Schizosaccharomyces pombe: one gene and its partner. The main gene of each other region encodes a partner of the protein of the gene in region 2 in a complex. Each region holds a gene or a part of one and is shown on either strand. Other genes may lie near its edges.

Region 1 (4,543 bases), on a different chromosome or scaffold from region 2:
AAATAAAGTCAAATAGCAGGATACCTTAGAATCATCACCGCCGGATGCTAATACTTGATCATGGAAGGGATTCCAATCAGTATCTAAAACAGCCGCAGTATGGCCCCGAAACAAATTAACTTGATCGGGAAGCTTTCCTCTTTCGTTTAAAGGGATAACTGCCAATGCACCTCCAGCTCCCGCATTCCAATTAACACTGAGGTAAAAGGGGTTCACACTCAATAGGTTAGAATCCCATGCATTATTGCTAAGCTATTGAAGACAATTAGTAAATTTCAAACCATTAAAGTATCGACCAACCTTTATGTTGTCGTAGCAAAGTTCTTTTTTGCAGGTTTGTCCAAAGATATGTCCTAACGTCAGTTAATAATTATTTACTCAAAAAGCATGCGTACTATATTTACTAGCTCTCACAAATCTTCCACTCATTTTTGAAAAAGAATAATTCCTTTATAAGATCGAATGAGAATTTGCTAATTGAGCTAACTTTATCCGGGGTGTCAGGTAATGAACAAAGTCGGGATCGGAATAGGAAGGAGGACGGATGAGAATGACAAGCACCTAAAGTTGTACTGGTCGTTGAAAATAACCAATATTATTGATAGTAGATATTAAAATATTTAAATTTTGGAAAAAGCAGTTCATTATGAGGAATTGTTTGAATTTTTATAAGGTGCCTTTATAGATTTTATTAAACTAGATATCACACTAAATTTGCAAAATATATACAAAATTTATATTATTAAAATGATCACTGTTTCAAATGTCTTTAATCATTTCAAGCGAAAGCTTTCAAAAGCAAATTATATAAAAAGTAATTGCGTCCAATAGTGTAATTTAGTCGATTCTCATAACTTTTTATGCTAATATGCCTTCAATATTCTCAAAGTATTTCAGATCTCTAAAAGTGTTTTCATTTAGGAAGAAGATTGAGCAAGTTTTTGGCGTTTTCGAGGCGAATCTTCCTTAAGCTTGGGTAGCTTTTTGACAATCTGTTTATACTCATCAAACTGATTTTCATAGGCGTTATGAATTTTTTCAATACGTTCGGACTTATCCAACTGTAGCAACACATCAAGATTTTGACGAAAAATCCTTTCCTTTATTCCTAGTCTAACAGATTTCCGCTCCAATAATGAAAGCTTTTTTAGTTTCGTTGTAAATGCTAATTCACAACAGCGTGAGAATTGACGCTAAAAAAAGACAATTAGTAAGTTGCATTGCATGGTAAATTTAGCAAATTACGAACCTGGGTTAACTTTGTTTCAGCTATTTTCGAGTTTATCCACTGCCTAGAAAGAGAGGGATGAAAGTCAGGTTCTGAAAATATTCCCATTGATAATAATCTTTTATAGTCGCAATGGTCTCTAAGGCTATCAAACGCTTCCGATGCATCCTCAACTGTGAAGTCTAAAATTTTAGGATTTTTCAAAAAGGTACTAACAATAGCATTGTACAATTGCGAACCGTGTCCTTGATGTTGAAAAGGGGGTAAAATCACGAATTGTGAGATACGAGCTCGAATACCATCGTGAATTAATTTGTCCCATTTATAATATTTGTATACAGTACAATAACCACGTAAGCAATAATCATCTTCAGTAGTCTCGTAACTTATTTTTGTTAATAAAACCTCGATAAAAAGGTAAAAGGAAAGTAGACGCGTAGAAAATAACAAACTTACAGTAAATATACCATCCATCTTGGATCATTAAGGTCAATAAAAGAGCCCCCTTCAATAAAAAATAAGGAAAATATTTGCAAATGCTGCATAATCTCACTAGCTTCAAGAACCGTTGCCTATTAATACATTACGATTATTAGCCAAAGAACATATAGGGATATTCAATAATTGAATACTTCTCCAATTGAAAGGTAATCGAACATACTTGTAAAATCTTGAATGTTTTTCCATTAAAGGAATAGTTATGAATACTATTTGCCGAATGAACGTCAAATGAGTTTCCTTCAACCTTAATGGAACGATCTTTTAGATAAGTGTTTAATGTTCCTTCAATATCAGTTGGTTCCACTCCTGAATCTGGTGCTAGGCGCTCTGAATATGAGATTTCCAGTTTTGGGACCATCAATGGGCATTCATAGGTTATCTAATAACTGTTACTATTTGCAATCAAATTTCATGACTAAAACTTGCTGATTTAATCTTACAGTGACATTTAGATCTTTATATCCATAAATAACCTCAGCATCTCCAAATATTGCATATGTATTGCTAGGATGGTATTGACAATCTTTTTCATGCTTTTCGTTTACTGACAGGTGTTAACACAAGGTAAAAACATTATAATTTAACATAGCATACCTTGTACAATTTCTATGCATTCATTGGCATTATGTACCCATTCATCAACAGCACTCATCACTGCATACGGAAAATTGAATACCTGACCCTATTTCAAGTCAAACAACAAAAAATACATGTGTCTAGTTGGAAGTAACAAACTACAAGGCGACGCAAAATTTCACGTGCTACACCTGTTATTATTAAAAAATATTTACTATTATATAGATTTCTAGCTCCAGTATTGCCAATTTTAGAACCTACAATTCTTTATAACTTTTCAGATTGCTCAGAACAATAACTACAAGTATAGATTTTCTGACACAACAATCCATTCTTCATCGATGACCCACGATGTTCAGGTATTAAATTTTTTTGATATCATTAAACTAAAATACGATTTGTATCGCAAACATGTAAAACAGTCATAACATCAGGATTTTTTAGTCATTAACCAAAAGAGGACATCATTGCTTGTTCAATAATATGCAGCTTTCTAAAGCGAAAATCCTTAAAGAGTCTTGAGATTGATTTCCTTAACCACCATAAATTCTTGAACGCCCAAACGACCGGCTTCCTTGCCAAAACCGCTCTGTTTGATGCCGCCAAAGGAAATAAATGGTTCGTCAACCATTTCGATATTGGCACCTACAAGACCCACCTCTAGTTCTTTGGCAACGTGGATCATTGTGGACAAGTTATTGGTAAAGACGTAACCGGCCAAGCCAACATCACTGTCGTTAGCCCATTCGATCACCTCTTCGGTGTCGTCGAACTTGAAGACAGAGGCGAGTGGGCCGAATGTTTCCTCGCTAGCAACCAACATGTCTTGAGTTACACCGGAGAGCACGGTTGGTTCAAAAAAATAACCTTTGCTTGAGGAAATCTCCTTTCCACCAACAGTGATTTTGGCACCCTTTGAAACAGCATCTTCAATGTGCTTGCTGACCTTTTTGCATCCATCTTGAGAAATCAAAGGGCCAACAGCAGAAGAAGAGTCAAATCCATCTCCTACTTTAATGGTCTTGACTTTTTCGGTAAGCTTGCTGACGAATTCGTCGTAAACATTCTTGTGAACGTAAACTCTGTTAGGGCAGACACAAACTTGACCACAAGAGTTAAACTTGATAGTGCAGAAAGATTCGACAGCCTGATCAATGGGGAAGTCAGGGAATACAATGAAAGGGGCATTACCTCCTAACTCCATTGAAACCTTCTTGATTGTGCTGGCACTTTGTCCCATAAGAATTTTACCGACATTAGTACTACCAGTGAAGGAAACCTTACGAACGATAGGGTTGGTAGTCAGTTCTTTACCATGAGCAGATGCATCAGAAGAAGTGATCACATTTAAGACACCGTCAGGGAAACCGGCCTCTTGCGCCAACCTGACTAAACCTAAGCAAACGTAGGGAGTGCGGAAAGCAGGCAAGAAAATAGCGGTACAACCAGCAGCCAAAGCGGCACCACCTTTACGAGCAATCATGGCGGCGGGGAAGTTCCAAGGAGTAATCAAGGCACTGACACCAACTGGCTGTTTGATGGAGATGAGAAAGTTTTGACTTTGTAAGCTGGAAGGAGCTACATCGCCAAAGGTACGAACGGCTTCAGCAGCATACCATTTAAGATATCCGCTACATGTGGTGACCTCCATCTCAGCTTGGCTCAAAGGCTTGCCGTTTTCTAAGGTAAGCATCTTGACCAAGTCGTCTTTGTTCTCCATAATAAGCTCTGCCCAGCGTTCCAATAACTGACTACGTTGGACATGAGTAAAATTTTTATAAGTTTTGAAGGCCTCGTTAGCGGCACTGATGGCTTTTTTTGTTTCCTCTACTGAGACATCGGCCACTTTACCGATTATTTCACCAGTAGCTGGGTTATCAACCTCAAAAGTTTTGTTGTTAGGAGAAGAAATCCATTTTCCTTGAACAAAAGATTGAGCATGAGACTTATCAAAGCCAAAGAGCTCAGGGCGTTTGAATTGAGGGGCCATTTTTGAAGAGTATTATACAAAAAAGTGGGAAGGAGTAAATGTTAAAAACTATATGAAACGAAGTTATCGATAGAAATGTTATTATTATTTATAATAATAACAAATAATAGCGTAAGCAGCAACAGATCTTTCGTGGAAAAAAGAAGAATGCAGGTTTTTTTAGTGTTTTCAAATTAAGCTGCAGATTTCTTTTTTTTAATGTAGTGTAAACATCGAGAGAAACGATGCATATTTATAATTTTTCAACA
Region 2 (4,461 bases):
GCCCACAAAAGACCTACCGCTAATTTGGTTTCCAAACGTATTTTATCTCCTCTAATCGGTCAAATCGTCCTTATTTGTATAATTCAATATATAACCTTAAGGATAGTACGGAGAGAGCCCTGGTATATACCACCACCTGCGAATAGCTCAGATACGAATATTACAAATAGCGATGTAACTGCTCTGTTTTTAATTTCTTGCTTCCAATATATTTTTATTGGAGTGGTTTTGAGCATAGGACCTCCTTACAGAGAAAAAGTTTGGAGGAACTATTCATTTACAGCTGTCGTTGTTGTTTTGTTGATCCTGACCGTTAAGTTAATACGACTTCAAAATCATAAAAACTTTTTTATGAAACTTTTCCAACTTACGCCTACGTCCAAAAGTTTCCAGAACTTTTTGATCTTCGCTGGTGTTATTTATTATTTACTCGCAGCCAGCGGTCAAAATTACATTTTCATTTCTATGACCAATTTTATATCTCACCTGAATAATCGTTTACTTAATCGCCGAACGAAAGTTTCGAAGAAACTATACAAACGCCTATTCGCAGACTTGCAAAATGAACAAGTTTGAGATATATTATCCCCCTTTTGTTGTTCAATAGATTTTTTTTGCTGTTATGTATAATATTAATAGTTACTATCCTTTTTACTTTATCATGGTCAAACAAAACATTTAATCTCTGGTGTTATAGAAATGTAGTCTGATTTATAACAGTAGTTTTGATGTATTTACAAGGCGACGAAGATCATTTGTTTTAAATTATACAAAAGCTGAAAAAAAGAGAGCAGTCAATTACCATATGACTCTGTATTGTAAAGAATATTGCAAAAAACAGATGAAGCGTAGAAGGATGGAAAAGTGAGTTTGGGTTTTTTTCTATGGCCAACTTTACTCCAGATCCCTAGGAGAAACCTGAACATGATCACGACCCCAAATGACACGAGAAGGGCTCCATATTTGAAGGATATTATCATCGGCAAGACTTCCAACCACCCAACGCTCGTTTGGACACCAACTAAATTCTGAGATGCGATTTGTGTGGCCTCCATGCATAAATAGTAATTCTGGAGAACCATCCTCGGCATCCTCCGGAGTCTGTTCCTCTCCAATCTTTTCTAAATCCCAAATACAAACACGGCGATCAGTTGAACTGGATGCCAATATAGGTTCATCATGAGGTGACCATTCTAACCCATATACCTCATCTTCGTGTCCTTCCAGGGTATGCAACCGTTGATATGGATTACGGAGGTCCCAAAGAGCTACTGTTTTATCAGCACTGGCTGTTGCTAAAAGATAGTCATTAAAGGGATTAATGGCAACGGCATTTATGGCTTTAGAATGAGCCTGAATAACTTTGGGAGCTTCTTCTTCTGGATTTAACCGAGTATCGTGAATTTGCAAAGTGCAATCATCCGACACCGATGCTAATAATGCCTCATGTTGAGGATGAAATTGAACATCGTTAACAATATCAGTATGACGATGATATTTGGCTATGGGGGAAATGACTTTTGTCTCAGAGGAAGTAAAAGATTGTGTCTGAACATCCCATAAACAGATAACTTGATCCTCTGCTCCTGTTGCTAGATTTCCAGGTAAATTCGGGTTCCAGCAAAGACCAAAACCTTCAGCAGTATGGCCCTTCAAAACTGCTTGAGGAAGTGCTTCACCTGTAGTTAAGGCATCATGACAAGTTGTATCAAAAATATAAGCATTTCCTCCTTCTCCCATGGTAGCGATGATTTCAGGCTTTTGAGGCATGTAACGAGCACGATTGACATCGCCATCGTGAGGGATTTTTTGTGAAATTTCAATCGTATACGAGCCCGTGGCCTGTGCTCTTCGAATCGTAGAAGGAGTAAACTCGGTGGTATCCTCATCAAAGTTTGGTAATTGCACAGAAGCAATCTGTAAATAATTTTGATCATTACCAGATGTGTGAGTGCCAAGAATAAGACGTTGAATAGAGTAATCAGTACCTGGTATTCTTCAAGAATCGAGTTAGAAAACTGATGAGATGGTTTGAAGTAAAGGCCAGTATAATCATAGCCTAACTACTTTGGCAAGCAACGTACGTTTTTTTGTCAGGAAGCCATTGAATTGTCAAAGAAGGCCATTCCAAAGCGTGGGTTATTACCAAGTCATACAGAAAGGGAACATTTTGTTTCCAAAGTTTGTATTCTGAAACGAGTATAATCGTCAGTAATTACGGCATAATAATATATATTAATGAAGAATTCCCTTTAATCATACCTTCTTGTATTGTTTTTTGTAAGTCTATCTCGGCATTGAGTTCATTATTCTCGAGAGGTGCATCCTGGACTACTTCCTCTGACATGTTTTGGGCAACTACACAATGGCCCAAACTAGATTGCCAAGTTAAAAGTTTTGGAGTTATAAGTAATTTACATTATTTAAAGATGCCCAAATAAATCTAGCGCACTCTTAAGTCTGAAATAAAAAAAAAATAAAATAAAATTCATGAACAGCGATATAGAAAACAAGTTTCAATGAGCGAAAACAAATTTGAACATGCCTCTAAAAACCATTACTTGATGCCACGTCTCCATGAAAACAGACATTCATAGTGAGAAGAATTCCTCAAACATCGTCTTTATCATGCTCTAATAATTATAAAACCATTTGGCAAAAACAAATATTATAATCTCAGTATACTTTGATAAACAGATTGTCATTATATTTACACTAAAAATAAAACTATTGAACCCAGCCATCAATGGGATATTTATACTGTTGGCTCTACGAATTGTTTTACAGTACACCGTAAATTTATTAAACAAATCATGTAGTATTGCAAACTTTGGGTACGTATCTAAACTAATCAAATATAAACTTTTTTTAATTAAAAATGTCTGGGAGACAATCCCATCCTTGACCCATGGAAAAAAGTCAACGACCGGGAAAGCCACTCAATTCTTCGCTGAAGACGGAACGGATGCATTTTCTTGGTCCGGAGACTCCAACCATCATACTTGACTTCAGGATTGATTTTACTTTACTTATATAACAAAGTAAGTTAAAACCTACTGATGATGGTGAATCATCAACTGAACAGACCCTATATATAGTAAATTTGTTGTGACGGTTTTTACCTTAGGTTAGGGTATTAGAAACGATGTTCTGGAGACTAAGTAAAATTTCATATGTAAACAATGGCTGAAAAGAGAAACTTGTGAAATGACTATGAGTTTTGGCTGATTTTAATTTATATGATTAGCTAGCTTTAATAGCACGTAGTCAGACTTTTGGGTACTTGTCGTGGAAACTTTAACATGCTAACTTGATAAATTATTCGATAACAGTACAATTCAAATCGTGTCTCTTATTTCTTTTAACCTCATCATAGCAATTTACTGATTTTAATTTAAAATATTTATTAAATATAGTTGTGAATTAAAAAAAAAAAATTCCCAGATGAGTACTTTCTTTCTAATGTTATTTATTTTGATATACTGAGGAATTTGTATACCGCATTGCCTTAAAATGCATGCCAACAGTGGTCTAGCTCGTTATTCGTCTCGACTTTTTTTTGGAATAATGCTTGCGTTTGCTAAGTATTTTGAGGAGGCAATTAATATCAGTATATCAATTATAAGAGAGGAATTTAGTATAATTGGAGTATATTTGCACGTTTTGAGTTGTTGATCGTAATCTTATTACTTCAGATGTTTTCATAGCGACTTCTGGTACCCATTGTATATTTATAATTATTGTAACAGTTTTTAACATTGCATTCTTTTTTTTTCTTGCTAAAGTAAATTCATCAAAATTTAGAGGTATTTCTATGAAAGATCTATCCATATCATGTAAATTTTTGTGTTGCCTACATAATCGAGCATCCAAACCTTGGTTGTCGGATACACCTTAATTAATCGGGGCACAGAAGAAATTGAAAAAAACAATAAGCAAAATAATTAAATTTTATGAACCGCAGTCTTAACAGTCATTATTATTAACCTGCTACTTCAAATGCGGTTTTGTTAATGACAGTAAAAAATACAAACACTTCAAAGTATTCAAAGATGAAATTTTCGGTGTGCATAAGCGTAAATAATCACAAAACTGAGAACAAACAGGTCATCAGTAAAAAAAGGCAAAATTTAGCCTTTAGGAAACTTTTTCTCTCTTTTTTTTGAACAAACGGATAACATCAGGGATTCGATATCTAGCAATAATAAAATAGTAACGTAGAAAACATTAACTAATAATAAATATACAAAAGATGTGTTGAGGCAAAGTCTTTCAATTCAATCAAATTAAATTGGTTTATTCCTAGGAGCGATATGATTTTTTTGGATTTCACGATTTTCTTTATCATTCTCCTCATGCTCTGGTGGATGGTGAATGTCACGAAGCCTTCGTAGTACAGGAGGTATAACATAATCTTTAACTGTGTCTGCCCAAATCATGTCCAAGTGTTCATAGCTATCA

Evidence for each region.
Region 1: mis16 (region 2) and hat1 share a complex: the UniProt entries of both Schizosaccharomyces pombe proteins name them as parts of the HAT-B complex.

What each region holds. Positions count from the first base shown.
Region 1 is NC_003424.3:1,028,068-1,032,610, reverse strand, and holds hat1 (histone acetyltransferase Hat1), read right to left. Parts: upstream 2,392-4,543; 5' UTR 2,382-2,391; coding exon 2,324-2,381; exon of another isoform or gene 2,274-2,323; coding exon 2,170-2,273; exon of another isoform or gene 2,109-2,169; coding exon 1,890-2,108; intron 1,801-1,889; coding exon 1,685-1,800; intron 1,614-1,684; coding exon 1,250-1,613; intron 1,194-1,249; coding exon 918-1,193; 3' UTR 670-917; downstream 1-669. Other genes in the region: coronin Crn1, read right to left, coding at 25-252, 301-353, 396-429; ssd2 (succinate-semialdehyde dehydrogenase), read right to left, coding at 2,814-4,295. UniProt on the Schizosaccharomyces pombe protein: Catalytic component of the histone acetylase B (HAT-B) complex. Acetylates 'Lys-12' of histone H4 which is required for telomeric silencing. Has intrinsic substrate specificity that modifies lysine in recognition sequence GXGKXG.
Region 2 is NC_003421.2:582,021-586,481, reverse strand, and holds mis16 (histone H4 chaperone, CENP-A recruiting complex CENP-A chaperone Mis16), read right to left. Parts: upstream 2,357-4,461; 5' UTR 2,348-2,356; coding exon 2,263-2,347; intron 2,191-2,262; coding exon 2,085-2,190; intron 2,013-2,084; exon of another isoform or gene 1,997-2,012; coding exon 895-1,996; 3' UTR 589-894; downstream 1-588. Other genes in the region: SPOM_SPCC1672.11C (P-type ATPase P5 type), read left to right, coding at 1-576; SPOM_SPCC1672.09 (triglyceride lipase-cholesterol esterase), read right to left, coding at 4,287-4,461. UniProt on the Schizosaccharomyces pombe protein: Regulatory subunit of the histone acetylase B (HAT-B) complex. The complex acetylates 'Lys-12' of histone H4 which is required for telomeric silencing.